2 linked regions of the Diceros bicornis minor genome follow. The protein of the gene in region 2 purifies or fractionates together with the protein of the main gene of each other region. This does not show direct contact. Links are inferred from orthologs where the notes say so. Each region holds a gene or a part of one and is shown on either strand. Other genes may lie near its edges. The genes, in order: BIRC2 and CD40.

Evidence for each region.
Region 1: the proteins of CD40 (region 2) and BIRC2 purify together in Homo sapiens (affinity purification with western blotting; 4 studies listed by BioGRID and IntAct, with this or other methods). This does not show direct contact. The link is inferred for Diceros bicornis minor from reciprocal best matches to the Homo sapiens genes CD40 and BIRC2.

The regions. Positions count from the first base shown.
Region 1 is NC_080746.1:32,610,259-32,626,819, reverse strand, and holds the start of BIRC2 (baculoviral IAP repeat-containing protein 2), read left to right. Parts: upstream 1-8,466; 5' UTR 8,467-8,854; intron 8,855-10,061; 5' UTR 10,062-11,321; coding exon 11,322-12,219; intron 12,220-12,321; coding exon 12,322-12,421; intron 12,422-16,234; coding exon 16,235-16,313; intron 16,314-16,561. UniProt on the Homo sapiens protein: Multi-functional protein which regulates not only caspases and apoptosis, but also modulates inflammatory signaling and immunity, mitogenic kinase signaling, and cell proliferation, as well as cell invasion and metastasis.
Region 2 is NC_080758.1:15,288,721-15,304,827, forward strand, and holds the start of CD40 (tumor necrosis factor receptor superfamily member 5), read right to left. Parts: upstream 7,126-16,107; 5' UTR 7,065-7,125; coding exon 7,014-7,064; intron 3,915-7,013; coding exon 3,836-3,914; intron 3,504-3,835; coding exon 3,378-3,503; intron 2,895-3,377; coding exon 2,748-2,894; intron 2,385-2,747; coding exon 2,291-2,384; intron 1-2,290.

The sequences.
Region 1 (16,561 bases), on a different chromosome or scaffold from region 2:
TATGAACTTCCCTCTTAGAACTGCTTTGCTGCATCTTATAAGTTCTGGTGTGTTGTGTTTCCATTTTCATTTGTCTCAAGAATTTTTTTTATTTCTCCTTTAATTTCTTCTTTGATCCATTGGTTGTTCAGGAGAGTGTTGTTTAATTTCCACTTGTTTGTGAATTTTCCAGTTTTCTCTTGTTATTGATTTCTAGTTTCATGTCATTGTGGTCAGAGAAGATACTTGGTATAATTCAATCTTCAATTTTCTAAGACTTGTTTTGTGGCCTAACATATGGCCTATCCTAGAAAATGTTCCATATGCGCTTGAGAAGAATGTGTATTCTGCTGCTGCTGGATAGAATGTTCTGTATATATCTGCTATGTCCATTTAGTCTATAGTGTTGTTCAAATCTGCTGTTTCCTTAGTGATTCTCTGTCTGGATGATCTATCCATTGTTGAGAATGGGGTATTAAAGTACCTAACTATTATTGTATTACTGTTTAAGTTCTGTTAGTTTTTACTTTATATATTTAGGTGCTCTGATGTTGCATAGTCAGAGCATAATTCATATGCAAATATGAATATTTGCATAAATATTCACAATTGTTAAAACTTAATGTATTGACCCCTTTATTGTTATATAACAACCCTCTTTGTCTCTTTTTACCATTTTTAGTTTAAAGTCTATTTTGTCTGACATAAATATAGCTATCCTTGCTTTTCTTTCTTTCTTTTTTTTTTGGTTACCATTTGCTTGAAACGTCTTTTTCCATCCCTTTGCTCTCAGCCTATGTGTGTCTTTAAGGCTAAAGTGAGTCTCTTGTAGGCAGCATATTGTTGGATCTTGTTTTTTTATCCATTCAGCCATTCTATGTCTTTTGATTGGAGAATTTAATCCGTTTACATTTAAAGTAATTATTGATATGTAAGGACTTACTCTTGCCAGTTTGTCAATTTTTTTCTGGTTGTTTTGTAGATCTGTTGTTCCTTGTTTCTTATCCTGCTGTCTTTTTTTGTGTTTTGATGTCTTTTGGTATCAATATGCTTTGACGTCTTTATTGTGTTCTTTTGTGTAATACTACAAGATTTTCCCTTGTAGTTACCATGAGGCTTACATAAAATATCTTAAACTTATAAGACTGTGTTTTAAACTGATAACAACTTAACTTCAATAGAATTCATGTACTTTTCACAGTAACTTCTCGTCCTCACTTTTACTGTCGTTACAATTTACATATTTTTTTATATCGTGTAACCAATAACAGATTATTTCGTTTAAGGTTACTTTTGTTATGGTCCTTTTTTTTTAAACTTTTAAACTAGGGTTACAAGTGAGTTATGCACCACTATTACCACATTGCGGAATATAACCATGACTATATATTTACCATGACCAGATTTATGCTACCATTCTGTGTTTTTATGATGTTAATTAGCATTCTTTCACTTCCAATTAAAGATCTTCTTTTAGCATTTCTTGTAAGGCAAGTCTTGTGGTAATGAACTTCCTCAGCTTTTTTTCATTCGGGAATGTCTTTATCCTTCCTTTGTTTCTGAAGGACAGCTTCACTGGGTATAGAATTCTAGGTTGACAGTTATTTTCTTTCAATATTTTGAATATGTCATCCCACTCTCTCCTGGGCTGAAAAGTTTCTGTTGAGAAATCCTCTGATAATCTTAGGGGGTGTTCCCTTGTATGTAACTTCTCTTTTCTCTTGCTGCTCTTAAAATCCTTTATTTGTCTTTGACTTTTGACAATTCAATTATAATGTGTCTTGGTGTAGCCCTCTTTGGGTTCAACCTATTTGGGATCTTTTGGGCCTCCTGGATCTGGATGTCCATTTCTCTACCCAGGTTCTGAAAGTTTTCAGTCATTATTGCATTAAATATACTTTCTGTCCCTTTCTCTTTCTCTTCTCTTTCTGGAATTCCCATAATGTGAATATTGTTTCTTTTCATTGTGTCCCAGTATTCTCTGGATTTCTTTACTCTTTTTCATTCTTTTTTCTTGTTGATCCTCTGACTGAGTAATTCCCAATGTCCTATCCTCCAGCTCATTGATTCTTTCTTCTGCATGGTTGAGTCTACTTTTGAAATTCTCTATTGAATTCTTTAGTTCAGTTATTGTATTTTTCAACTCTAGGGTTTCTATTTGTTTTTGATGGTTGCTATTTCCTTGTTAAACTTCTAATTTTTTTCATGCATTGTTTTCCTAATTTTGTTTAGTTTTCTGTGTTTTCTTGTAATTCACTAGACTTCTTTAAGAAGCTTATTCTGAACTCTTTTTCTGACAGTTCATAGATCTCCATTTATTTAGGGTCATTTATTGGAGATTTATTAATTTCCTTTGGTGGCATCACATTTATCTTTTTTGTGATCCTTGATTCCTTATGTTGGTATCTGCACATTTGAATAATGGGGCTCCTTTTCCAGACTTTACAGGTTTGCTTTGGCAGAGACAGTTCTTCACCAGTCAGCTCAGTTTGGGTTTATGGATGTGTCTGCTGGTAATGTCTTGGGGTAGGTGGGGCCTGCTATTATGGTCTATTCTTGGGTGAGGCAACTGTTCAAGTTCTGAGGACAGGGATGGGCGTGTGTGGCACTGGCTGAGAACAGTTGGATAGGACTGCTAGCTTGGTTCTCTACCCAGGTGAGGCTGTAGGATGGGCTCCATTGTTGCCCAAATTTTCTGGTTAGGCTTACTAGATGACCGGAACTGGGTACTATATTCAGTAGTAGATTGGACTATGAATTAGCTTCCCTGCCTTGGCAGAGCAGCAGGCCATGTCCCAGGGCCTGTACAGCTTGTTGCTTGGGGGCCCAAATCAGGCCTGAGTGTGCACTGAATTCCCTGGTAAGGTGAGGCCACTGGTTTTGCTCTGCAGATGGGAGGAAGCCACAAGCTGTGCTTTGTGTTCAAGCAACACCATATGTAGGGCTGTTGAATGGGCTATACAGCTTCCTGTGTGCTCTGGTTAGGTTCCCTGGTTGGACAGGCTAAAGGCTGTATTCAGCAATGAGTGGGGCTGCAAATGAGATTCCCTACATCAGTGCAGCAGGAGAAGCAGCTGTAAAACCAGTAAAGCTTTTTATTTGTTGTCTTAATTCAAGCTGACCACATGCCAAGTTCCCTGGTTGAACAAAGCCAAGTTCCCTGGCTTTGCTCTGCAAACTTTTAGCTCTGTCTGCCCTTCTCTTGGCTCGAGTGCCACTGGGCCACACAGGTTTCAGGTGTTTTCACCAGCCCTTCTGGTCAGATGTTGTCAGAAGACACTCCACAGCAGATGGGGCTATGTCTTAGCCCCCTCACCTAAGCGTGAGGGGGAGGGGGCCCCTCCAGGCTACTCTCAATTTCCCAAACAGGCTCTCTGGTTGGGAGAGGTCAGGAGCTACCCTCAGCCTTAGCTACTAATTAATCCCCCTGACTGATTGTAGCATGGGAAGCCTCCATGCCTAGTACTGGGTTTGCTCTGGGGATGTTCAGTTCTGCTTGCCTGCCTCTCGGCTTGTGTGCCATTGGGCTGCACAGCTTCCAGGAGTTGTTGCCAGCCCTTCTGGTCAGATAGAGCCAGAAGACCCTCTCCACAGCGGGTGGGGCTGTGACTCAGCACCTTGCCTGGGCTTGGGCAAACCAGGCTCTAGGGCTGGCAAAACTCGTTTGAGAATCCAAATCAGGCAGATCTGCACCTTGCTGAGTTCCCTAGTCAGAGTGCACCCCCAACTTGGTTCTGCACATGAGCAAAGCTGCTAGTTGGGATTACTACTTGGCACTGCAGGTAGGAACTCGGTCTGCGAAGATCAGTGTGCTAGTTGTTGCAAGCCCTCCCCTTTCCTCCATCACAGTCAGATTCCCCTGTAATCCCCATGGTGTGAGATCAGAGTAGAGACTCCTACAAAGTGACCCCTCCCCCCCCAATGCTAGGTGGGGGCTGGTTGTTCTCCCTGGGTTCTCTTTTCCCACTGGAGGAAAAGCCACCACTGGAGGCTCCTGGAGACCTCTCCACGTGTTGCTATGCTGGCCTGGGGGAGGGGCAATGCAGTCAATGTGTAGCCTCTCCTCTTACCCTTCTATTGCAGTCTGTCTTGGTCTCTGAGGTGCAGAGTGGTGCTTTAGCCTCACCCCCATGTTCTAGGATTCTCTCCGTGGTGTCTTGTTCTTGAACAGGTGTTAGTTCTTCTTGTGAGGAGGGGTGAAGTCAGGAATGACCTATGTTGCCATCTAGGTGATATCCCTCTCAAAACAATTTGTTTACCATACTTTTCCTGGTGACCTTCCTATAACTTGCCTCTCTTATCCGGAAGCCCAAAACTTCTTTTCCTTTGTTGGTATTTAAACCCTAAGTTCTAACCACCACTTTGGGTTACTCATCACTGAGGGTTCTCATTTGAACACGTGCAACGCACATATTAATAAACTTCTGTTTGTTTTTCTCTTGATAATCTATCTTTGGCCAGTCTAATTTACAGGACCCCAGCTGGAGAACCTAAGATGGGCAGAGGAAGAGATTTTTCCTCCCCTTCAGTATATACTGACATACGGGAGAAAAAAATTTCTCTCTACCCGTCTGAGTTCTTAGCTGAGATCCCTGTAATAAAAGACAGATTAACGAGAGAAAAACAAACAGAAGTTTAATATGCATACCTCATTTATACGTGGGAGATACCCAAGGAAAGATGAGTAACTCCCTGAGGTGAATTAAGCCACAGGCTTAAATACCATCTTCAGCTAAAGACAAAATCAAGAGTGTGGGGAGGCCAGTTATGGGGAGGTTACCAGGAAAAGCATGGTAAACAGGGTAAAGTTTGTTATGCAGATTTAAGTCAGTGCCTTCTCCATTTGTCACCTCCCACCCCACTTTTGGCCCACCTATCCTGATCTTAGCAACAGTTCTGCTATAAGTCAGGTTAGTGAGAATGCCCCCACCCTTGATATCTGACCAAATTCCTTATCTTCCACCTTTGATATATAAGCCCTCGGCCTATATTCAGCAAGAATCCCCCTGCCCTTGATGTCTCCACTAAGTAATTATACATCCACTGACTCCCCTCATTCTGCTGGTTGGCTATAAATCCTCAGCCATCTTTGATGTATTCAGAGTTGAGCCTGATCTCTTTCCCCTACTGCATGCGATAGTCCTGAATAAAGTCTTCCTTCTGTTGTTCCTTACTTACTGACATTTTAACAAGTGTCAGAATAATTTTTCCTTTAACAATACCACATAACCAATCCTAATATTCTTTTATGCTTAATTTTAAAAAAATATATAAAATGTTACATATGCAATTGATGCATATGAAAAGATTTTCAATCTCATTCATAACAAAGAAATTAAAGCTATGCTGAAATATCCATCTGATAGACTGGCAAAAATCCAAAAGTTTGACAACATACTCACCTGGTGAAGCTGTACAGAAAAAAGGAACTTACATATATTGCTGGCTGGATTGTAAAATGCTAACATTCCCATGGAGCGGGAGGGGTATTTGGCTATATCTAGCAAAATTACATATGAATTTACCATTTGACCTAACAATCCAACTTCTGGGAATATATCCTAAAATAAGATGTATGTCCATGTTTATCATTACATCACTGTTTGTAATAGCAAAATATTGGACACCACCCAGATGTCCATCAATAGGGAAGTAGTTGAATACATTATGGTACTAGTTGAATATATGCTACATCTACACAGTGGAGTACTGTGCAGAAATGAGGAATATCTCTCTATATATACTAGTATTGAGTGATCACCAGAATTTATTATTAAGTGAAAAAAGATGAGAAAAAGAACGCTATCATATATCTAAGAAAAAGGGAGCTATGGATAAACATATATAATTAACTATATTTTTAAAATGAAAAAATGAACCATAAAAAATGTTTAAATCATTACCTACGGAGCAGGAAGGGAGTAGTAAAGGTGAGAACAAGGATTTTTCAGTGCGAAGGGAGAAAGTCACAGATGTACGATCAATGAGGTTAAATAAAACCTTGAATTCCTGAATTTGAATTGGAAGAGTTCATGATGCATTTTTTTTTTTTTTTTTAAAACTTTTTTTTTTTTTTTTTTTTAAAGATTTTATTTATTTTATTTTTTCCCCCCAAAGCCCCAGTGGATATTTGTGCGTCATAGCTGCACATCCTCCTAGTTGCTGTATGTGAGACTCGGCCTCAGGATGAACGGAGAAGTGGTGCCTCGATGCGCACCCGGGATCCGAACCCGGGCCACCAGCATCGCAGCGTGCGCACTTAACCACCAAGCCACGGGGCCGGCCCCATGATGCATTTTATTAGGGAAAAAAAAAAACTACAACAAAACAAGACCATATTACCCAACTCTGTCCATGGAATAGGTTATAAAAACAATACAACTCTAATAATTAGCACCACAAACATTCAGATTATGGTCTTCAGATACTATTTCCCATGAAAGGAAACAGGGCACTTGGAATAAATGGCTTACTACAGGTATGGGGTAAGAAATGTACAAAACCAGCCTGAAAAGCAATCAAAGACTACTAGGGCCATGTTGAAAGGACTCAGGAGCCAATATGAATAAGCTCCCATTGGCCTGAGATTAAACAACTTTGGGCACCGATAATGACAATAACTGTAATGGATTACAACTCACAAGATACGTTTAAATCCTCAGATGATAATGATAGCTGTTCACTTTTTGGGTTTTTATTCACCAGGAATTTTTTTAATAGTTTAAGGTCATGATCTAATTTTATTTTTTATTAGAATAATCAGTTATTTGACATTACTTATTGACTAGTTAATCCTTTTCTCTCTAATACATAATATCAATGTCATATATCAAATTCATATATATATGTCTTTTTTCCGGGTTCTTTAACTTGTCCCTTTGTTTATTTGTCCATCCTTGTGTTAATACAATACTGTCTTAATTACCATGCCTTTATTAAATAACTCGTTATCTGGTGGACAAGTCCCCTCCATCTTATTTATGTTCCTCAAAATTGTCTTGGATCCTATAAATATTTTTTCTACAAAAATGTGAAAAATATTAGGATGGCAACCTAATTCTACACTTGAAATATGAAAAAAATTAATTGAATAGATTTAACGCCAAACTACAAGGTTATACAAGATTAAAAGTTATAAAGTAATATTATACTTGAATGTTATTACATACTTTTTTGGGAAAATGTCTAAGGCCTTTGGGTTTTTGAAATTCGAATTTTCCCCAATACTGAAGTATATTCATTATCTTACTTTTTGGTCAGGACAAGAACTGAAAAAGAGAAATAATCTTGAACTCGGAATGAACAATTCTTGCTATATGTATTTTCCCACATATATAAGGAAGATTCTGTAACTTTCCGAGAAAGAGTGACTTGGACTAAATACTGAACTATCAAAATTCATGTGCATATTTGGAAGTTTTTAGTCATTGGGAGCCATGGCATTTCTTTTCTCTGTATCACAAACTGCTACAAATACTTTCTTTTTATTATTATCATTGGAACAGAAGATCTCCTGTTCTGTGACTGACTGGCAGGCAGAAATGACAGGGACAGGAAATGGGAAATGGTTCAGGGTCTTGGAATTCCCCTGGCTGCCTAATTAAGTGGCTTGTTATTTGGAAGTTTTTGAAATGTTTGTCCCCTGGAGTTCCCCTGCGAGAAGAAAGCATCTGATTTCATTGACAAAGAGTGTCTTCACACAAGTAAATTAAAAAATTCCTTCCCTGCAATACAACAAACACACACTGCACGCCTCTGCATTTCGGCACTACTAAAGAGGAGGGACACAAAACGCCCACAACTAGTAACACCAAGATTTTTTACTTAGAATTTTTCTATCAGTGAACTATTTAAAAATTTCATTGAGAAGTGGGCTCCTCTGTGGTTCACGCACGATTTATGTATACACACGCATATATATGAATGTACACATTCCATTTTAGTCACATTCAGAAAAACCCGGGAGTGAAGCCTGGCCTAAAACACCGTTCATGTTGCTAGCGATGAGTTTTGCAACAAGACACTTTTTCGTTAGTGCATATGTCTCCAGAACAGAAAACCGAAAGTTTAAAAACAATGTTTATAAATAAAAGATACACTGGTTGATTATAAAATAGATATATAATCCTCAAGAGATGATAAAATCAAGCCTTCAAAATTAATCTTCTGACGCTGTTCTACTTTCCAACCACTTGGCTTTTCATTTCCACTGCCGGCTGTGTAATGTTGATGCTACGCAGCTGCGCTCTGAGGCAAAACGGTTACAACTGTTTAAAACGGTTGCAACTGTTTACTTAATTGAAGCAAAAATGCCACCAGGTTGACTTCATCTTCAAGTGCACTCATCTAAGACGAGCGGAGGTGTCACCCCGGAGGAATTTTGCCAGATGCTGGATCATAACTCTGAGGTGACGCGGAGGAAGAGGCGCAAAACCGCCGGCACTGGGGCGTTTCCGCAGGGTTTCCCAAGATTCAAACTCCACGGCTCCCCGTTTGCCACGTCCCCGTCAGGAGAATGTCAGGGACTGAGAGAGAAGGAAACGTTACTCAAACTGCAAGATTAAAAATCGAAACACCGAGATGATGTGGACGCTCGCGCCTCGCCCCGCGGGCTGACCAACTTCCCGCAGGCGGACGCGCCCTCGCTCCCGCTCTCGGACCGCAGACTCCCCGGCGCCCTCGAGCGGCGGTGACGCGGGGCCGGGCCAGGCGCGCTGACGTCACCGTGCGTCTGCGTGGGCCCTGCTTGGGCGGGGGGCTTCGGGAGCGCCGGACCGGAGCCGGCGGGCCTGTCTTCTGTCGGCGCCGTTGCTCTGGGTCTGTGGAGGTCGCCGGGCAGCCGCGCTGTTTCCGTGTTTGCTGCGCCGGCACTGCGGTGAGTGCAGCTCCTTCCGGGCCCGGGCCCGGGCCGCGCGGGGACCCGCTTCCCCGAAGCTGCGGCTGGGCCAGGGAGGGCAGGCCCTGGGCCCCTGGGGCCGGGGGGCGCGGGTCGCGGTGAGCTCTCTCCACTGGCTCTCTCTATTCTCCCCGAGGCTTTTTAATTCGGAAGTTTCAGCTCCAAGACTCGAAGTCGGAGATAAAAATTGACCTGTTTGCACGCCCGCCCTGGCCGCCGCCCACTTTTCGGCCCTTGGACTTTGACCAAGATGTTTTCTCATAGAGGTTTTGCAGGAATTTAATTTAACCCTCGGTGTTCCTTTAATTTAATATGTTGAAACGAAGACAGGTGTGTGGCGGCCACATCTCACGTTTCAGAGTTCGAGCTGTGCTCCGCCACTTCAGGAGTCTGTTGTGTATTGAGAGAAGTAACTCCGGGAAATCAGTGGGTAAATCCCACAGTTTCTCTTCTTTTCCCTTGCAATCTATCCCCCCACCCGGCTACAGTTTGCATGAAGATGGCAGAATCCACAGTACGGTGTTTGTGTATACAAATTTAAAGATATGATATCAAGTCCTGGTGGAACGAAAGCATTTGTGCAGTGGTCACGTTCCCAAGGCCAGTGTTTTTCCCATTGTGCTATGTTTTGTTTTCGAGTTGCTTTCTGTGGTTGTGGCTTGGGAGTTGTAGAGTTTAAGGGTTTATATTAATGAGTTTCTGATGCATTTTACGCTTACTGGTCAGTTTGCCTAGTCCTGGAAAGATGTGACTTTCAAAAATAACATCACTGTCTAATTATTGCTGTACTGTTGCTGATGGGATGTAGTCTCTCTTTTTCACCGCTGTCCCCTTTTGCTATTAGCAAACTGCCAGAGATATCATCTTTAAACCGTTAAAAGTTGTCACCAGAAAAGGGGAGGAGACCAAGGACAAAATACTTTCCTCTTTGGAAATGTCCATCTGTCTTCAAAGTTGTACGTTTAAAAAAAAATGTATAGTTAGTGCTAAGGGGGGTATATGGCATTTATTTGAATTAAGAGCTTTTCCATTTAGAAAGTTTTGGAGACAAATTGCTGGAATTAAGATGTGGTATTATCTAAAGTGTAAATCATTTTTAAGACTTCACTGAATAAATTGAAGAGTGTGTAAGTTCTATTTAACATGAAGATAGTTTTCTAAAATAGCTTTTGTTTTTTCTTTTCAGATTTACAGCTCTGAAGAGTCTACTTTTTCCCCCTCTTTTTTCCCCCTGCAGTAATAAATCCCGTTATGGAGACCCAGAAACTTTATAAAGGGATATAGTTTGAATTCTGTGGAGTGTAATTTTGTGTATGAATAGGGTTTTCAGAAAGAATGCTACTAGGGATAATTACTGGTACATTTTGCAGAAGCAGTAATTCTCTTGGTAGTGCAATATTTTGTTAGGCATTTGTATTAACACTAAAAAGGACAAGCTGTATCTTGATAAATTGATTTATCTTTAATTACAAAATGAGTGTATAATAGATGCATGACCTTAAGTGAAAGACAGATGATTTAATTTTTAAATGGAGTGTAAAAAGTTTCAGCTGTGGCAATTTTATGGTTAACTAGTTAAGTTTATGGAGAAAATACTTTCAGTTGATCAAGTGTAATAAAGTGATATGCAGTTAGGAAGAAAGGCAACATAATGATGCTGCAGGAAATGGAAACAAATATAGACAATATTTAACAAAGATGGAAGATTTAGCAGTTTGTGGGCTTTAAGCAAAATTAATTTCATTTGATATCATACACACTATAATGAGCATAAGTTCAATAAAGCTTGTGGGTGTTGACGTCCCCAAAAGTTGTTAGCTGAAGCTAATATAACCCACTTAAGTAAATACTATGATGATAAGCTATGTGAAATTAGCCTTTCGATAATGTGACCATACAAAGACTTTAGTTCTTGTTTACTAGAATAAAACAAGGTTTTTTTTATATATCATATTAAAGTACTTGTAGGGAAAGAATCTTGAATATAGATTTTTCCTCTTGTAGCATAATTAGTAATTGGCTTGACATCTAGGCTTTGTAGGCTGTAATCAGAAGCAAATTAAAGGTATAACTTAGGTATTCTACAGTTGTTTAGAATTTTGGGAATATAAACCCACTTGAAAAATCAAGGAGTTTTAACTTATTTTTAGAAGTATATCAACTTAATTCAGGCCATTAGGTTAGTATTGCACCAAATAAGAAGCACATAACACTTAAGTTACCTAAAAGAGTTAATATAATCCCAAAGAGTACTAAATAGTATCTTGGTAATTGAGGGGAGAGATTCATCCTACCTGAGTGTAAACTCAGGTGTAAGTCCAGTAAAGAAGGTTTAGTGAGTTTTACATAAGTAGGAGCTTATTTGATTCTTTATGGTAAAAATCTAGTGTGAAGAGATGAGAAATTTCATGTGAAGGTTTTTAGCCATTCAAAAGTAAAATCACTCATGCACAAAACTACCTCCCAAAGACTTGTCCCAGGTCCCTCGTATCAAAAAATTAAGAGTATAATGGAAGATAGCACGGTCTTATCAAGTTGGACAGTCGGCAACAAACAGAAAATGAAATATGACTTTTCATGTGAACTCTACAGAATGTCTACGTATTCAACTTTCCCCACCGGTGTTCCTGTGTCAGAAAGGAGTCTTGCTCGTGCTGGTTTTTATTACACTGGTGTGAATGACAAGGTCAAATGCTTCTGTTGTGGCCTGATGCTGGATAACTGGAAACAAGGAGACAATCCTATTGAAAAGCATAAACAGCTATATCCTAGCTGTAGCTTTATTCAGAATCTGATTTCTGTTACTAGTCTGGAATCCACCTCTAAGAATACTTCTCCAATGAGAAACAGTTTTACACATTCATTATCTCCCACTTTGGAACATAGTGGGTCATTCAGTGGTTCTTATTCTAACCTTTCACCAAACCTTGTTAATTCTAGAGCAGTCGAAGACTTCTCCCCGTTGAGGACTAACCCCTACAGTTATGCAATGAGTACTGAAGAAGCTAGATTTCTTACTTACCATATGTGGCCGTTAACCTTTTTGTCACCATCAGAATTGGCAAAAGCTGGCTTTTATTATATAGGACCAGGAGATAGGGTAGCCTGCTTTGCCTGTGGTGGGACTCTAAGTAACTGGGAACCGAAGGATGATGCTATGTCAGAACACCGGAGGCATTTCCCCAATTGTCCATTTTTGGAAAATTCTCTGGAAACGCTGAGGTTTAGCATTTCAAATTTGAGCATGCAGACACATGCAGCTCGACTGAGAACATTTATGTACTGGCCATCTAGTGTACCAGTTCAGCCTGAGCAGCTTGCAAGTGCTGGATTCTATTATGTGGGTAAGAAACAATCTAATATATAGCTATACATTTTATCTAGTTCATTTTGATTTACATGTTAGAATATGTGTGTATTCAGTTTTAGTTTTTTGTTTTCCTTAGGTCGCAACGATGATGTCAAATGCTTTTGTTGTGATGGTGGCTTAAGGTGTTGGGAATCTGGAGATGACCCATGGGTAGAACATGCCAAGTGGTTTCCGAGGTAATTGTTTTGAAAGGTATTTCTACACAAAGCTCTGTGCTTAAGAGAAGTAGGCATGCTTTCATGATTAAATTTACATTTTAATATAACAGTTTCTTTTACTATTGGGGAATTTGTCTTTTAAAATACGAAGTTTTAACGTTAATTATTTTGATGAAAAATGTTGTAGAATGTTCTGTGTTTTCTTCTTTTGCAAGCCATGTACTCGGGATGTAATTTAACTTATTCTTGATGATGCATTTACAATTATGGCCAAACATTTCATTTACATATTTCCCATTTTACTTTAAAGAAGACTTAAGGATTATGAAGATATGTAAAATAGAACAAAAGGAGCATAAGTTAGAAAACAGTAAGAAGGGAACAGGAAAACAAGAAGGGAGCCATAAAATGGATCTAGGAATAAGACAAATATAAAAATGCATATAATAAAAGCTGGTTAAGTCTTATTATAATTGTAAATTATTTTTTCTATACAGTTTTATCTTGTGATATGTCACTTATGTCCTTTTAGTCACTCTGTCTCTAGCAGTATCTCTTATTTTTTACCATGGCTTAGAAAGAATTTAGAGGCAATGTTGTTAGTGGAAATAGAATTAGAAATTTATTCTGTTTTTGTTTTTGAGTAGCTATGTCGACTTGGGCAAGCCATGTGATCCCTTGAACCTCTTTCCTCATCTGTAAAATCAGGAGATTGGACTAGATAATGTTGTTGTTGTTTTTTTAATTGTAGTAAAATATACCTAACATAAAATTCACTATTTTAAGCATTTTTAAGTGTGCAGTTCTTTGGCATGAAGTACATTCATATTGTTCCTCAATCATTACCACTGTGCATTTAAAAACTTTTTCATCTTTCCAAACTAAAACTTGCACTTATTACGCTAACTCTCCATTCCTCCCTCCCTCCCTCCAGCCCGTGGCAACCACCATTCACCTTTCTGTCTCTATGAATTTGACTACTCTAGGCACCTCATATAAGTGGAATTGTATAATGTAGATAATGTTTGACCTGTGAGTACCTTTCACAATCATGAGGAATCTCTTGAACCCCTTCAGGAAATTAAAAAATCCTTTTGTCATTTTTGTATAATATAAGATACAAAAGAAATATGAAGTGAGAAATATTTTTTTATGGATTAGTACATTGTTAAAAGTTGTATTTTAAAATTATATCTTTAATATTCATAATATATCAAGATAAATTTTGACTTTCTAACTCTGGAAAGTAATATATATTTTGTTTGTTTTTAATCATTTATGTAGGAAAAAGCATGTTTTATTGTCAGAATTTTAAATGACCTAATTATGCCTGGCTCTATGGGATTGTGTACATATAATTTGAAATTTAACTAATATAGTATTAAAGAGACCAAAACAGCTTTCCAATTTCAGTGTTTGAATTGCTGCATTTTGTCCTTTATAAAACAAAACAAAACAAAACAAAATCTTGGTTTGTTTCTGTAATTTGTGTTTTGTTTTAAATGGTTAAATAACACAAAAGGCTTAGGGGTGCTTTTTGTAATCACTTCTGAAATCAACAAATTTCAATTGTGGATAATCTTAAATCTCAGTAAATGAAAAGTCAAAATGGATAATTGTTATCACTTTATTTTAACACAGTTTGTTTATTTATCAAATATTTGGGTGCCTACTGGATACTATTTTAGATACTGGGGATGTAACAGTGAATAAGACAGACAAAAATCTGTGTCCTCATAGAATTCACTGGAGAAAAGGGAAGTATGGAGCAGCCAGGGTTCGTTATACTTCCTGTCTTTAATCATTATGAATATAAATTAATCAGTCCCGGAATAAAAATAATTTAAAATTATATAAAGATGAAGAACACAATGACAAGTAGCTCTGTTATCTGGGTGATAACCTTGAGTCCTGAGCATGCCTGTATGATCTCTACTGATTCTACCCATTCACTAGTTGAGGGACATTTGGGTTCTTTCCAGTTTGGAGCGATAATGAATAAAATCACTCTAAACATTAATAAACATTTGTGAACATATGTTTTCATTTTGCTTGGATAAATACTTAGAAGTGGGACTTGTGGGTTGTATGGCAAGTTTTGATTTAACTGTATAAGAAACTGCTAAATTGTTTTCTGAAATGGCTGTACCATTTTATTTTATTTATTTTTTTGAGGAAGATTGGCCCAGTGTTAATATCTGTTGCCAATTTTCTTCTTTTTCATTTTTCTCCCCAAAGCCCCAGTACTTAGTTGTGTATCATAGTTGTAGAGTTGTAACTCTTCTTTGTGGGACGTGGCCTCAGCATGGCCTGATGAGTGGTGAGTAGGTCTGCGCCCAGGATCTGAAGCAGCGAACCCCAGACCCCTGAAGCAGAATGCACGAACTTAACTGCTGCGCCACTGGGCTGGCCCCAGCTGCACCATTTTAAATTACCACTGGCAATGTATGAGACCTCCAGGTGTTACACATTTTCTTTTTTTGCTTAAGAAAGATTAGCCCTGAGCTAACATCTGTGCCAGTCTTCCTCTACTTTGTATGTGGGTTGCCGCCACAACGTGGCTGAAGAGTGGTGTAGGTCCACGCCTGGGAACTGAACCTGGGCTGCTGAAGCAGAGTGTGCCGAACTTAACCACTACGCCCTGGGGCTGGCCCCCAGATATTCCACATTTTTAACTACACTTGGTGTTGTCAGTCCTTTTGATTTTAGCCATTGTAATAGATGTGTAGTGGTATTTCACTGTGATTTTAATTAGCATTTCCTTAATGATTAACGATGGTAAACTTCTTATTTGCTTCTTTGCCATCTATATATCTTTTTTGGTGAAGATCTGTTCAAATCTTTTGCCCACTTTAAAGTTGTTTTTTTTTAAATTACTAAGTTTTGAAAGTTATTAATGTATTCTAGATACAAGTCCTTTATTAGATGTGTTTTGAAAACTTGCAGTCTGTGGCTTGTCTTTTCATTTTCTTAACAGTGTCTTTTGATGAACAGAAGTTTTTAATTTTGATGACATCAGTTTATCAATTTTATCTTTTATGGGTTATGCTGTTGGTTTCTTAGCTAAGAAATCTTTCCCTAACCTAAGGACAAAAAAAGATTTTCTCCTGTGTTTTCTTGTAGAAGTCTTATTGTTTTAGGTTTTACATTTAGGTATATGATTCATTTGTAGTTTATTTTTGTATATAGCATGGGCACAGATCAGGGTTCATTGTTTTTTGCATATGGATATCAAGACGTGTAGCACCATTTGTTGAAAAACAAAAGGAATGAAATGGAAACACGTTATGTGAACTTCCTGGAACACCTTTGAGACGTTCTAGTAGTTTGAAAACAAGTATTTGGGAAACACTGTCACATTATGTATAGATGAAAATGATTCAGTGTTTTTGAAGGGAGTGTTGATGCTTCAAATGTAATGGAAGAGTAGACACTGGAGAAAGATTAGCAGTTATTATATTGTAAAAGATCACATTTTAAATACTGAATTACAGTTTCTGAAACTATATTAAGCCCCCAAAGTATATTGTCTAGAACAGCATTTGTCAAGCCTTAGCTTGTGCTCCTTTGAGGTCCAGACCCTTTTATTGTTGTTATTATGTTAATGCAATTAAATAGAAAATATCAGAATGCATCAACACATACTTAAGAGTTTGTAGTGTTTTATGAGAATTTTGTTTGTGTTAGGTATGTGTGTGTGGTAGCTTATGATGTAAAATGTTTATACTATGGGGTACAATCAAAGAGGTTGAAAGCCACTTTTCTAGAATGGTCAGGTTATATTTCTGGTATAAAACAATTTTTAAAAATAATTTTCCTTTTATGTTTTAGATGTGAGTTCTTGATACGCATGAAAGGGCAGGAGTTTGTTGATGAGATTCAAGCTAGGTATCCTCATCTTCTTGAACAGGTAAATAAGTTTTTATAATTGGCAACATTGAATTCTAAATAATAATTACAAAAAATATAAGTAGATATTTACATCTGTTTTCTTATTAATTATAGTTACATGTTTTGTATCCATATTAATGACACCTTTAATTTTTATTTTTGTAACTACCTTTTCAGGGCTAAACAAAAAAGATTGTTTTTAGTTTTTCGAAAAATCACTCAACTTGCCATTGTACAAATTGGTGGTGGGATTGGAGGAGGATCTTT
Region 2 (16,107 bases):
TCCACAATGGCTGGAATGGAGAGATGATGAGTTCTGCCACATAATTCTCTGCTGTCCTGTATATCACAGGATGTTTAGCAGCATCCCTGGCCTCTACCCACTAGATGCCAGTGGCATCCTCCTCCCCAGTCGTGACAACCAAAAATGTCTCCAGATATTGTCAAATGTCCCCTGGGGGACAAAATTGCTCAGTTGAGAAGCTCTGGTTTAAGGGTCATCCAAAAAGACTTCCCTGGGGAAGTTAGATCTGAGTGGACCCTGGAGGATGTAAAATTCTGAGCAGCAGTACATTCTAGCTAAGCAGGACAACGTGATATGAGGGATTAGGTGAGCGGCATGCCAGATGGTGTTAGGGAACTATGTAAAATGGGTTCTTTAGAACCAGATCACTGATAATCAGCCAGGAAGGTTTTGACTGGATTCAGCGGGTGAGTCACATCAGCATCCAACCCTATGACTTCAGTAGCGAGAGCACTCAGCTGGCCAGAGAGCTCACAAGAGGAGAATTACAGAAAAGTGGCCACCAGCAGGCCACTGCAGGAGTCGAGATATGAGATGATGAAGACCCAGTCCAAGGTGGTCCCCGGAGGAGTGGGGAGGGACAGAGAAAGACACCACAAAGAAGAAAACATCTAAAGTGGAGAAAGAGAAAGAAGCTTCAAAGTAAGCACATGCATGAGAAGACTCTTACATGAGAAGAGTGCCCAAGAGTTTACAAAACACTTTTACATGTCTTTTCCTCAAGCCTGAGAGAGGAAGGTCATGCCCATGGTCCAAATGAGGACACCGAGGCTCAGAGAGATGAGGGTCACACACTGACACGGGGTCACACCCTTTCTAAGCTGCAGCAAGGGTGGAACCCAGTGCTCTGACTCCACTACACCAAGGTGCCTCCAGTTATCATCCAGCATTTATGGAGCAGCTACTATGCATCCGGCACTGTTCTAGGCATAAGGGATGCAGCAGTGGAAGAAGAAAAAAGCCAAGTCTCTACATTGAAGGAGTTTGCTATCTACTGGAGAAAGGCAGACAGTAAACAAATAACAAAGTACGTATGGGATGCTACTACTGTGTGGACTCTATGTGTGTCTGCATGTGTGCATTTATTTGTCTGTACATAGAATCTCTGGAAGGACACACAGGAACAGGGGCTGCCTCCAGGGAGAACTGGGTGGCTGAGGGACAGGGTAAAAGGGAGACTTATCTTGATAGGCCCTTTTGTGCCCATGCGCTCGTCTTACCCATTTTTAAAAATTCAATGTAAAAGTTAATTGGGCGTGTGTATAAGGGTATTCCAGGCAGAAGAGTTTGATGCAAGAGAAGGAACAATGTGTTGAGGGGATTGCAAGGAGCGTGATGCGGGGAGAGGTCAGGAAATGGAGCTGGAAGGTCAGAGGCCATGCGAAGGAGACTGAGTTTCATCCTAGAGGCATAGAGAATCATGAAACATTTTAACTAGGGAATGCCATGATCCGAAATGAGCCGTAGAAAGCTCACTTTGGCAAAACAATGGAGAACCAGCTGAAGGGGAGAGAACAGAGGCAGGGTGGCTGGTGAGGAGGCTAAGACATCATCTAGACCATGGTGATGAGGCCCAAACTAAAGTGGGGACAGTGTAGATGGCGAGAAGGAGTCGTCCCAAAACATTTGGAAGGCCAGACGCACAGGATCTGGTGACTGATTCGGGGTTGGAGGTGAGGGGGGACCATGGGACGAGTGCCCATGGACATGATGGTGGCTTTCACAGATGGTGAGGGGAGGGGGAAGGTGAGTCCATTTGGGGCCTGTGGGTCACCTGCGTGGAGGTGTACTCTCGGCAGTTGGATATGACAGTGTGGGACCCAGGAGACAAATCTAGACAGAAGATGTTGATTGGAAACCATCCGAAGAGATGGTAGCTGAAGCCATGGATATGGATGAGATGGCCCAGGGGAGGCAGGCAAAGTGATTGGATAGTAGAACCTAGAACAAAGGCCTAGAAAATGAGTTAAGGAGGAAAAAGGAGAAGGAGCAGAGGAGGGGTAGATGGAAAGTAAGAGAGGTGTCACAGTTTCCCCAAGAAGGGAAGATTGAGAGATCAACAGTGTCTATTACCACCAAGAGAGAGCAGGCAAGAAAATACTGAAAGGTTGGCCATCTAGTTGGCCACGAGGTCACTCTAGGAGTTCTACAAGTGCACGAGTGTGTGTGGACACGTGGCGCAGGGGCTGAAGGACAGGTGGCCAGAGAGAATGGAAGCAGGTCCCATGCCCCTCTTGGGGCAGGAAACACAAGGGCTGAATCCTTATACCTTGTCCAGGAGTGACACTTTTCAAAAGCAGATGATACATTGGAGAAGAAGCCGACTGGACAGGGCTCGCAGATGGTATCAGAAAGCCCTGTAGCTGGGAGGAAGGAGGAGGCATTAATCATCCCAAGGACCACCTGTCCGGCCCTTGAGGGAATCGGTGGACAGGCAGGGCAGGAAGAGCCGCCTGCTCTAAGCACCCTTTCCCCAGCATATCGCTTCCCCAACTGCTGCAGCCCCTAGGAAGGCTCCTTCCACTGCCCTCCCAAGACAGACACCCATGGCGGCAGGTGGAACGAAAAAGGTTCCATTTCCTGCTCACTCTGGCGGAGATTCCACGTAGGTTGGAGTCCCCATTCCCTCCGCCTCTGGGGCTGAGTGCCCACTGCCCAGCCCCTCACCTTTGGCCCTTGGCTCCTCTCTCTTGCCTCTAGAGCTGATTCCCAGACAGGCCACTTACCGAGCTGCTTGACCCCAAGACCAGGGGGGCACAAGCTGTGCAGGGTGCAGCTTTCACAGGCATCGCTGGAACAGTGTTGGCCTTCATGACATGTGCAAGTGGCGTCTGTTTTCGAGGTGCCCTCCCTCTGGACCCGGAGGCCTAGGTCTGAGCAGAGACAGGCAGGAAGGATGGGAACTCTTTGCTGGCCATGCTCGGGGCCCCGCTCCTCACACATCCTGATCTTTTTTTCTCAGACCCTCGTCCAAGTAGGGATGGCGATCAAATTAAATAACTCAGACTCCAACCAATCAGAACAGACCTTGGCTATAAAAAAAAAAAAAAAAAACAGAATGGGGGCCGGCCCAGTGGCGTAGTGGGTTCGAATTCTTGGGTTTGGATTCCAAGTGCAGACCTACACACTGCTCATCAAGCCATGCTGTGGCAGCGTCCCACATACAAAGTAGAGGAAGATTGGCACAGATGTTAGCTCAGGGACAATCTTCCTCAAGCAAAAAGAGGAAGATTGGCAACAGATGTTAGCTCAGGGCCAATCTTCTCACCAAAAAATACCAGAATGGCTGCATGGTCAGGAATGAGCTGGAATATCAGCCTGTCTCCCAAGTGCCCCTTCCCCAGCAGCCCACGCACTGGGGTCGCAGTATTTGTGCTGGTGACAACGGTTCTCTCTGTTCCAAGTGTCTAGGAATTCGCCTTCATTGCAAGGAGAGCATTCTGTTCCAGTGATCTCCGTGCAGTCATGCACCAGTTTCTCTCCTGGAAAACATCAGCAAATGAGGCAGCTCCAGCCAATTCAATGAATCAGACACTTACCAAAAACCGACCAGGCTGGGCTTTAGGGCGGGGGTATTCAAAGGGGACAGTCTTGGACCCTTCTAGCCTTCCTAGTCTGGTGAGGGACATGGAAGAGATAGGAACCCTAGTCCTGGGTAGGCAGAGAGGGAACCCAGAACATTCTGACAGCCCTGGGCAGGGATGGAAAATCCCAGGGGTTATTGAAGACTCGAGTTTCAGTTGAAACATGGGGTGTGCATCTGCCAGCAGACCAAGAGGGGTCCCACTATAGAACTAGAGGGTTGGCATCTCACCTGGCGGGCACAAATTACAGCACCGACTGCTTGTTAGGTATTGGTTTCCTTGGCACACAGTGGGTGGTTCTGGGTGGACCTACAAACAGAATCGGGCGATTTGAAGGGATCTTGAAATCTCTGCTGTAGCCTCCCTGGCAGGAAGGTGGAAATCAGCCAGGACAGAGGTTAGAACTGAAGTGGAAGTCCAAAGCAGAAAAATGGAGGCTGCATATAACTTGGTGTGTTTGTTTTTAACTAAATTTCCAACTGGTATGATTATAAAAGCACAGAGAATCATTCTGGTATTCTACAAAGCGATTGCACCGGAACCTCACACTATTCTCTGAAATAAACAGATCTTCCTTTTGGCTTGATTCCTGAGTCCTTCCTCTTCCCAAAGACCCAAAAGCACAGGAGGACCCCAGCACCTCCCCTGGAGTGCTGAGGCTGGCTGGCTTCAGCGGTCCTAGTCTTGGCTGGGGCTATATTTAGCACCTGGCCTCTTCCTTCCAGACTTCTGCTCCCCACCCTCTTCCCCTCTCCAAGCCTCATCATGTTTTCTCCCTCCAACCCCTCATCATCTGATCATCCAACCCCTCTTTCATGAAATGCCAGGATTGTGAAGCTGCAAGGATAAAAATCTAATTCTTTCACTTTACAAATCATGAGACTAAGGTCCAGGGTCACTTACCCAGAGTCACACAGTGATAGAATCCAAATGAGAACTCAGGTCTCAGTACTCCCTCTCTCCATCAACTTGGGTCTCACCTGCACTATTTTTACTATATCCAGGTACCACCCATGCTATTAATTACTTCCTGTTACTCTAAATGCGTTTATTTTAAATTGGAACCTTATATCATCGCCATGAGAGAAGAACCAGTATCACTTCTCATAAATGAAAGGTAACCCTAAAAATAAATTCAACAGAAACAAAACAGTGTTATTAAACCCCAGCTGGCTGCTTCGCTTGCTGACAGCCCTCTGCCCCAGGCCTGCTCTTGATTTTTGTTTAAAAAGGAGGATTAGCAAGTGCTCAAGAGGTATTAACTATATTCTAGCTCCAGAGACTTATTTCTTGAAAATATGAGAAGGATTTTAAACAGAACTGTAAAGTAAATCAATGTTGCTTATAGATTTATATATATATTTATATAGTTCTATATATCCATGCACTTCCTAAAACCTTCCCACACTTTGGGAACACCCAATGAAAACAGCACAAGTTTGAGTCAAACAGCTTAAGGCTCCAATCTTGACTTTGTAACACTTACTAGTTATCTTCCTTCTCTTAGCCTCAGTTTTCACATCTCTAAAATGCCCCACAGATTAGGTTATGAAGACGAGAAAGAATATGTGTATATGGCCTGTACAATGTCATAGTAGGTGCTCATTAAATGGCAGTTTTAATTATCATACATACGTGAATATCTACTTGGATGCTATCTGGCTGACTGTCCAGAATCCTGCCTAATTGGTGGCTTGCATTCAACCTGGGTGGGCAAATTACTTACAGAAATGTACCTTACCCCAGATGGAGAAGGAGGTGGAAAAGGCTGCTGCCCCCACCATCACATCACAATGCACCGCCCTGTGCATGTTCTCCCTGCAATCCTGTGGACCTTCCCACCACACTCTCAGAGCAATGAAACTCCTTTATGCCTTTTTCAAACACATGAGAAATATACAGCTCCTCCTCTGAAAGTCTGTCAATCCTGAGTTCCTACTCCATAGCTCCAGTCCATCTGATGCAAAGAACCCCAGGACCGCGGCTTGGAGACTCTCACCATGTGAGAGGCAGGCTCAGGAATCAGGCAGACGTAGATTTATATCCAGGTTCCACCTAGCTATGAGAATTTTGGCAAGACATTCCCTCTCTCTGAGCCTCAGGTTACTCATCTGTATAATGAGGGAGTTGAAAGAAATCGGACAGAGAAGGCACATAAAGCATTTTGCTCAGAGCCTGACACAGGAAGCTGTCAATAAATAGCCCCTGCTATTGTTGTGGTCACAGCCCAGTCTCTACCTGGAGCCAAAACTGGAAGTATGCTCTTGAGAAGCCCAGACTACCTTTCACCCTACCTCCCTTGGCTCTTTCTCCACTCCTTCCCACAAGAGCCCCCTTCCTCCTCTCTCTGGCTCCACCCTCTTCCTGCCTCCTTTCTCCCTAAGAGCCATTGCTTGGAATGAAAATGAAAGCTCTGGGGCCAGAGCAGCCTCCCGACTGACTCTCTTCCCTTGTTGCTGACCCCCCACTACATGGGTCATTCCTGCGAGACTTCATGCCAGAAACTACAGCCCTCGAAAGTAGGGGGAGCCCAGAGGGGTTGGGATAAGAGGGTCAGGTACTTGGGGGATTCCCAGCCTCCAGAATGAGGAACTACAAAAATATATTTAAACAAAAAGTGAGTCAAGTGTGGGCTTCTGAAAATCCCGGAGATATGCTTGGTTGGGTATATCTGAGCTCTTCTGGTTTCTGGAGAAACCCTTGATGGTCTCCTAACCCTTTCTCGGGTCTTATGAACTGTTCATTTCCCCCAAGGGTTCCCCATGTCATCTTAAATTCAGGAGGCAGAGACAGCCTTGGGTATACCAACTAGATTGGATCACCCAGGATTTGGGGGTGGGGGTGGGAGTGTTAAAAGCTTGCCTTCTCAAAGAGGTACCTGGGCCTCTGCACCCACCCCTTGTTCCCACAAGATGCCCTAAAAGAAAGCAGCCCCAGCTGGTAAAGAGATGATAACAACTCACAGAGGCTGGCATCTGTCCACAATGGGAAAGAGACAGGAAACCGGCCAGATCCGCCCCTTCCCTTGGCCGGCCTCTCTTCCCACTTCCGAAAGCCCTCACCAGTCTCCGCGTGTCAAGCCTCTGAGGCAAACCTAGACTCTAGCCTTTTGACCAAAGGCTTGAGGCTCCCAAAACCCCAACCCAATCCGCACCGTCTATGCACGTTTCCTGCAGTGCCCCCACTACGACAGGCCCTCTGTGGGCTACCTGAGACCCCAACCTGGGAAGAGAGAGAGGCAGCCCACCTCATTCAGCCAGGAGCTGGGTACCTTACCCAGCTTCCACGCACCCTCCTATCCCCCCAAAATCAGCTAGGAAGGTCCCCTCCCCGAAGTATCGCTTCTCTTCCCGGGAAGTTCCCCACTCCCAAACTCCCCGGTCGGGACGGAGCAGAAACGCAACTCACGGTGGTCAACAAGCAGCCCCAGAGCAGACACTGCAGAGGCAGACGAACCATGGCGAGGAGAGAAACAGGCGGCGGAGCCGAGGGCGCGTAGACAGGGTCTCCAGTAACTCGCTTGCCCCAGTCTGTGGCCCCGCCCAGGAAAGGGGCGGGGTCTTCGGGGACCAATCGCCGCAACCAGCCTCGCTGACGGGGCGGAGTTCTCGGCGACTCCCTGCCCTGGGATTTCCCCAGGACATTCCCGGGAGTTCAATTTCCCCGGGAGTTTAGGGACGCGTTTTGGGAGGTGGGGCTGGTCCCAGGGAAAGCCCTTCCTCCTCGCCCCCTGAGACTACAGAGGCCAAGCTGAAGAGGGCAAGGAGCCAGCCGGCTCCCAGCGGGGGCGAAGGGAGGGAAGAGAGAGCCCCACCGGTGCTGGGAAGATGCCACAGGGACCCCCACGGTTCTCCCCCACCGCCTCCGGGAATCCCGGCAGAACCGAAAGCACCTCCACCGCGGATGGCGGGACCTGAGGAAGTTCCCCCCATCCCAGAAAACGGGAAGGTCTCAGCTGGGGTGTGGGAAGAAGGACTGGGGAGGCGTTTCAAGGAAAACAGTTTCCCAACTTAGAGTTTCTCTCTCTTTCAAAGGAAATTCCCTCGTGTGGGCGCAGCGTCCCAGCCTCGCCATCCATTCATTCATCCATCCATGCGTCCCCACCAGCTTCTCTTCCCTCCCAGTTCCCATCCGGCGCCTGGAGACAGGCGTTTAGAGTAGATCCCTGTCATGGGATGGTAGGACCCCTTGAGAGTCTTAGGAAACTCGGGACCCTCTCGTTCTGCGGAAACACACACACCCTTGTGCCTACATTTCCCGGGGTTCCCAGCCCTCCAACCCAATCTTGAACCAGTATTAACACTCTCCGCAATACCCAACACCCGGGTTCTGGTCTAGGCTCTGCCTCTGATGGGCTGGGTTCCCTTGAGCCTCAATTTTCCCTAATGAAACCTGAGGATCTTGAACTAGACAGTAGTTGAGGTGATGACTCTCTAAGCTCTGAATTTCTGGACCAGTACAAAAGGCCAGGCTGTGCAGATCAGGGAGGATGGGAGAGGAGGGAGCTGCTAACCCCATCCTCCTGGCTTCTGCTGCAAAGGGCACATTTGCAGCCCTGTGGATCCTAATCTCTAGAATCCATCCCCTCTTTTCCATCCCCTGTGCTGCTGCCCTAATTAAGAGGCTCATCTTTCACCTGGGCTGTCCCCATAGCTTCACTCATTCACTAAGTACTTGTTGAGCCCCCACTATGTGCCAGGCAACTAACACTTTCTCTCTCTCTCTCGTTGTTCATACTGTTGGAGTTCTCTTTGTAAACTCCAGATCTGATCTGATCCGGGCACTTCACTGCTTAAAAACCTCTTTGGGCTCCCCTATGCCCCCAGAATAGCACAAACCCCTTCTCCCGGCACAGCAAGCCCTTCTCCACTCAGCCCCAACCCCTCTCCCCATGCTCACTCCTAGCCATGTCCTCCCATGCACTTTGGCTTCAGCCAGGCTTGCCTTCTTATTTTCCAAACACACATTGTTTTTTCTTACTGTGTCTTGCTTTTTCCTTACTTCCCTTATCCTTCCTGGAACCAGTTTAAATTTCACTTCCTTTTCATTTAAGCCTCCTCTTAGCTCCCTGAGACAGAGGTAGATACTCCACTCCACCTTAGCCCCTCCCCCTGTTTCCACAGCATGAGGATGCTGAACTGGAACTCCATCTGCCTGGCCTCATTTGGTTGTGAGCTCCTGAAGGGCAGGACTGAATCTCTCCCAGTCCTGGGCACATAATAAGACACCAATATGCATTTGCTGAATGAATGAATAAAGGAGCGAGTGGGTTCAGTAACTTCTCATTCTAAGCTCAGCTTCTGTCAGGAAGGATGTGGGGGCACAAGGTGCAAATCCGGTGGTCGCAACACAGACCTCAAGCCGGTGGTCAGACACTAATAATCTAGGAACGCTTGAAATCAGAGTCTAGGGGGCTTCCTGAAAGCCACCCAAACATGCCTGGCATGAAGAGAAACAGTAAAATATCTTTTCCCTTTTTAATCCACTTTGAGAAAAACAAGCACAGTTTTAATTCCTTCGGGAGTGGGGGGGGCGTTACTATAATAACTTCATCCATTACTTATTCTTTATTTGCTTGATTCCAAAATTGGTCCCTTCACAAAACTGCCTTGGGAAGCAAGTACACAGAATTAAAACATTAATTATATTATATAAAACATATCATAGCAGCAATTAAAGCAGCTTAAATTAATGTGTGAAAGAATAAATAGTAGCCTTCGGGTTGCCCCATGGGGTGAAGACCAGATGAGATAAAGGCAAGATATTTTAGTATATGCATCTCCCAAGGAGACATGTGCTGGCGGGCACAGGCCCAAAGAAGGCATAGAATCTTCTTGGGCTGAGAAGAGTATGCTGAAGGAGGAAAGAGAGAAGATGATTTACGGGGAGGGCAGCAATATTTCAGAGTCCCATCAAAGAGGGGAACTATGAAGGGTTTGATGATGGGAGTAGGGCAAAGGACATTCAAAAGAATGGGGACCTAGGATTTTGTAATCAGATGAAATGGCCTTTGCAGGGGAGTGGGGGTCACAGGGCCAGGTGAAAGAGTGAGAAGCGTGCCTGAGGTCAAGTCCACAGCAGTGCCAGAATCCTAGCGACCAGATGGTTCTAATAAGCAAACTCAACTGTGTTGCTCCCAGCTTTGAAGCAACTCTCCAGAGCCCTCACTTCTTAAGCTCACAGGGCCTCAAGGCCATGGGCTTCCAGGTCTTCATCTCCTACTGTCCTTCCTGCCTTCAACTTGCTGCTCCAGACTGTGCTGTCACCTCTGCCTGGAAACCACTCTCCTTTCATGGAACCAACTCCATCTCATCCTTCAAGACTCAGCTCAGATGCCGCCTCTCTGGAAAGCCCTCTCCAACAGCCAACCTGGGGTGTGCACACCTACCTCCCCATACTCCCTCAGAGCCCTGGGGCTGCTTACCTAAGCAAGACTCCAGCCCTAGCGCACTGTATTTCAATTATTCTGTTTACTCCCAGAATCAGCGTATTAAGATGACTTAATTTGGTGGGACATAATAATGAAGTTTTTTCCCCTAATCTCTGCCTTCAGCCACGCTGTGTTGAATCTCCCTTTTTCATCCATTAGTGACATCTTGGGCAGATTGCATTACTTTTGGATCACTTTCTGTTGTTAAACCTCCCTCCTTGAAAGCTGTATTCTCAAACTCAATTTAAATCTCATTTTATCTTCTTGCTTACTCATCCAAGGATTGACTTGAGCCAAGATCTTCCCTGCTTGGATAAAAAGTGGGGGCAGGGGGGACATGGCCTGGTTGGGAGACATGCCCCAGCACCCTCCCCCGTATTGAAATTGGGAGGAGGGAGTGGGAATGGCTCTCTGCAATAGCCCTCTCCCTGTTGGATGACCCTGCTTCCCTGGCTAACCCAGAGTGGCAAGTGTTCATATATAGTATCTCAGAGGAACATGAGTAAGTTTCTTGGGGGCTTCTCCACTGCACAGTTCTCTGACATGGGGCATCCAGCTCAGGCTTGAGCTTTCCTACCTCGCCCCACCACCTGGGCTCCTGCCACTGGTGGGACCCTCTTGCTCAGCAGTCAGCCTTGCTTGGGTGGGATACCAGAAAGCCTGGCTAACTTACTGCAGTGTCCCGGTAAGTTAGCCAGGAAGTTAGCTTGACCCAGAGAAACTCATGCATCCTGGCCAGCCGCTCAACAATGCCTCCTCTCTCCACCTCTCTTCTCCCCTGCTAGCTGGCACAGAGGGACATCAGCAAGTCTACTTGCTGTAGACCCCCACTGGGGAACAGCGTCCTAGTATCCCCTTCTTGAAGTCAACCCTTAATCTCCATGAGGGATTCCCAATTAAAGAGTAGGGAGAAGGGAATCATCTTCCACCATAAACACTATACTCCTCAATAAAACGAAAGAACTCCTCCCTCCCCAGGATTATTATATGGACAAGGAAGAGGAGAGTAAGGTTTTAGCTAGGGCATATAGGACCCTTTTAATTCTACCCCTTTTAGTAAACTTTGGAGGGAAAGTATCTGGCTCCCATTTGGAATGCAGGGGACATGGGGCCATGGGCCATAGTGCCAACTCACACCCAACTTGATTCCTGGAGAGGAGGATCTTTGTAGCCTGATGCCCACACAGAGCCCAGGCACACGCTGGATACTGAACAAGTGTTTGTTGAGCGAATGAGAGACTATGAAGTAATGAGACTGAAAGGATCCACCAGGATCCACCTGCTCATTCCCACACTGTCCTGGGTGGCTGCCCATCTCTACCAGATGACCGGGCTCTCTAGATGGGATTCCCAGGCCCAACTATGGACAAAAACATTTCCCTTCAGCTCAGCAGAGTTGGGTTGGAATTTATCAAAGGGAACTAAGAAACTCCGGAAAGAACCCAACCAGAAATTAAGGAAACCTGAAAGCCAGCAAAACAGATGGGTGAGTTGACAAAGTATAGAAGTTCTTTGTCAGGATCTGGTTAAAACCACTTACTGACTTGGCTGATCCTGATTCCCAGACAAGCAGACCTCAGGTCTGGTCCTCAGCCTTCTCTGGCTCTGATGTCTGGAATAAGAGATGGCTTTGTTTGGGGGAGGGGATCCAAATTCTTTACCATGGCCTCAAGATCCTGCATGATCTAGCTTCCCTGCCTGACTCCACTCGCCCACTTGCTTGCTACCCCCCAGCCATCCAGGCCTCTTGGTTCCCACCTCAGAGCCTATGTCTGTTGTTCTCCCTCTGACGGAAATGCCCCTCTTCCCACTCTTCATCTTGTGACTCTTGCACCATTCAGGTCTCCTGGCAAATGGCACCTCTTCAGAGAGGCCCTCCCTCATCACCTCATCTAAAGTGAGTTCCTCCGCTACCAAACCACCTTCCCCACTGCTGTCCTCTCTTGTAGCACCTGTTCTAGTCAACGTTGTCATTGCAATCAAGAGAAGACGCAGCTGGTGAACTTAAGAAGAAGAGTACATTATTGGAAGGGTGTCAGGCGACTCATAGAATTGACGAGAAGGTTGAAGAACAAAACTCAGGCAGGAACTGCAGGAGGCAGGACAGAGTCAAGACTCTGCTACAAAACAGGTCTTACAAACCAGCTCTGTGCTAGCCAACCTCCAAGATGGCCAACGATCACCTCCTGTCTTCACATCTTAGTGTAGTTCCCACCCTCATTTCACCAGGGTTGTCCTGTGTGACCAACAGAAACCAGGAGAAGTGATGATATGTCGCTTCCAAGATTAGATTATAAAACTACTGAGGCTTCAGTCTTATGTGCTCTATCACATATTGTCTCTCTCCCTCCCCTCCCTCCCCCTTTCTCCCTCTCTCTGTCTTTCTCTCCCATCAGGCCCTCTGGGGAAGTCAGCTGCCATGTCGTGAGGACACTCAGGCAGTCTATAGAGAAGCCCACATGGCGAGGAACTGAAGCTTCTGGCCATCAGCCACATAAGAGAGAAGCGGATCCTCCAGCCCCAGTCAAGCCTCAGAGGACTGCAGCCCCCGCCGACACCTTGACTGCAGTCTCGTGAGAGACCCTGAATCAGAACCACCCAGCTAAGCTGCTCCTGGATTCCTGACCCACAGAAACTGAGATAATAAATGTTTGTTATTTCAAGCCACTAAATTTTAGGGTAATTTCTTACACAGCAATAGATAACTAATACAATCTCTAACTGACCCTGAACTTGATCATTCCTTCAATGGTCAAAGTCTTGGGAAGGGATATCGGAGTGGCCACGCTTGGCTTACATCCCATATTCTGGCTGCCAGGAGGGAGGAAGAACTATCTGTGCCCTCTTGGCCTCCCTGGTGGTTCTGCCCCCACCCCCATACCCCTCAAATAAGAAGGATGTTCAGAGCAGCCAAAACAATCTATTTGCACTGCAATGTTCCTACAGAACACTTACCACAAGTTGTAGTTCTCTAAGCATTTTTCTCCTTTCCCCTTCCTCTTCCTAAGTTTGGACACACGCCAGATCCCAAAACTAACAGAAACAGATATTCTCTTGGCCGGATAATGTAGGAGAAATATCCTCAAAAGTTAAAAGTCTGATTGACTTAAAAATGCCAAACCCTGGGGCCGGCCTGGTGGTGTAGTGGTTAAGTTCGCACACTCCGCTTCGGTGGCCTGGGGTTCGCTGGTTTGGATCCCGGGTGCAGACCTACGCACTGCTCATCAAGCCATGCTGTGGCAGCATCCCATATACAAAGTGGAGGAAGATGGACACAGATGTTAGCTCAGGGCTGATCTACCCCAGCAAAAAGAGGAGGATTGGCAATGGATGTTAGCTCAGAGCCAGTCTTCCTCACAAAAGAAAAAAAAAAGCCAAACCCTGAGGAAAGACCTATGAAAAGGCAACTTCTTCTCAGTGAATTAATGGGGGAAAAATAAAGTTCGGGAATCAGGATCAAGAGATACAATCCTGGGGCAGGCCTGGTGGCGTAGCGATTAAGTTTGCATGTTCTGCTTCTGCAGCCCGGGGCTCACCAGTTCGGATCCTGGGCGCAGACCTACTCATGCTCATCAAGCTATGATGAGGCGGCATCCCACATAGAAGAACTAGAAGGACCTACAACTAGGATATACAGCTACGTACTGGGGCTTTGGGGAGAAAAAAGAAAAGGAGGAAAATTCGCAACAGATGTTAGCTCAGGGCCAATCTTCCTCAAAAAAAAAAAAAAACAAAGAGAGAGAGAGAGATAATTCTGCATCTTTTCATATAGCCGAAGCCCAGTGAATAATCAGACACTTCCCACTCAAGATATATATATACATGAAACAGACACTTTATTACAGACCAAAAAGTTATCCATGGTCCCATCCTGAAATGAGATCAATGGTTTTATCTGTACTTGTCACCTTTTTGTTCTTGTCCATATAAATTTTCAGATTTTTCTTTCCCAAGGATATCATAGATTTCTTGTTTTACATTTTCCTATAACATTATACTATATGTATTACTCCCACTTTTGTAAACATCTATTTTTTTCTTTATCTTTACACCTCCCTCCTCATAACAGCCTGGTAGGTATCCTTCTTCATATCTAAGGATATGTTTGTTCATTTCATAAGAAAATAAATATATATCATTTTTCTGCAATCACTTTTCTCACTTAACAACATATTGTGGAAATCATTCCAGGTTAGTAGACACAGATCTGACACATTCTTTTTTTAATAACTGTGTAATATTTCATGGTGTGGGCTTGTCAATTCAACCCTTCTTCTGTCGATGTACATTCAGCCTGCATCCAAGCCTTTATCACTGCAAAGCATGCTGTAACAACATACATGCTTGTACATGTGTTCTTATGCATCTGTGCTTTTATTCTTATAGAATAGATTTCTACAAGTAGAATTTGTGGGTATGTATATTGTAAATGTTGGCAGATATTTTCAAAAACACTTGGGAAATTCACATGTATGAAGGCACCTTTACTTTGCTTTCTCTCCATCACCAGATATTATCATTCATTTTAATATTTGACAATTTGAGGGGCGAAGAGAGACATCTCATTGTTGCTGTAATTTACATTTTCCCAACTATTAGTGAAATTGAGCATCCTATCAAATGTTTAGCAACCATTTGGATTTCTTCTTCTATGACCTAAATATATCATTTGCCCACTTTTCTATTGAATTGTCTTTCTTTTATCAATTTCATTCATTGAACAAATATTCATTGAGCACTTATTATGTGTCACGTGTTGGGGTTATGCTATTGACTAGACAAAGTCCCAGCCCTAATGAAGAGCTCTTTGTACAATATCAATATTAACACTTTATTCTGTCATCCATGTTGAAAATCAGCTCAGATGTTTAATTGTACCTCCAGGGTCTCCCCGTACACATTTTCTGGCAGACTGTTAATCATTGTGGTTTCAGATTTTATGATCTAAAAATACCTAATACCAAGCTCCACTAGCCATTAGTTTGTTAGAGTAGAAAGAGCACTTACTCCAGTCCCCTATGTAGCACCTTGTTGGCACCCCACTCTCATGCCCTCCATATACATGTTCCTGTTCCCTACTTCAAGCACCTGTGCTCTTCTGCCTGGGAGCCGTTTATGGCCACAAGAGCATGGTTAGCTCTCGCAGGGGGCAGGACAGAAGTGCCAGAGTTAATGCCCCTGGGAGCAGCCTTCTGCCAATGACGGACAAGGTGTTGGTTCCCCTCCTCGTTTCACTTCCTCCCTCCCCTATCAGTGCTTCCTGGGGCCATCTCCCAAATAAACTAATTGCACTCAAATTTGTGTCTCAGTTTCTGTTTCTGGGAGAATCCAACTGAGACACCTTGATTTGCAGATGACGAGCTAGCAGCAGGAGGTGGTGCAGCTTGGTGGGTAGGAGTGTGGCCTCTGAAGTCAGAGGCCTGGGTCCAAAGCCTGGTTCTGCTCCTGACTATGTGGCCTTATGCATATTCTTAATCTCTAGTTCCTCCTCCATAAAATGGGCCTAATAGCTCACATGGTTATTATAAGGATTAAATTGATTATGTAATTTTCTCATATACCCCGTAAAAAATGCTATTACTCAATAATATTAGAAAATTGAGTCCTAGAGAATACAAGTAGCTCACCTAAGGCCACACAGGAACCTGGGACTCCTATGTTCCATTTCAGAAGACTCTACTCGTCTGTGTTCCCATGGGCCAGGGATGTTACAGTCATGGGGGTCCACTTGTCCTGGACTTTGAATACTCCTAGACTTCTAGGTGGAATTGCTTGTTTATCTGTCCAACAGAACTCCGCTGTCCAATAGAACTTTCTGTGATAATGGAAACATTCTATATCTGCACCACCCAAGAGGGTAGCCACTAACTACATGTGCCTATTAAACACTTGGAATGTAGTTAGCGCAACGGAGGAAGTGGATTTTTTATTTTATTTACTCATAAAAAATGTAAAAGTTATGTATAGCTGGTACATCTTAGACACCTTAGGTTTAGAGGATGGGGCTTGGGTGATGGTGGGGAGAATCTCTTAGTTCCTTTCTCCTCTCCATTCTCTCTCTCTTCCTGTCAT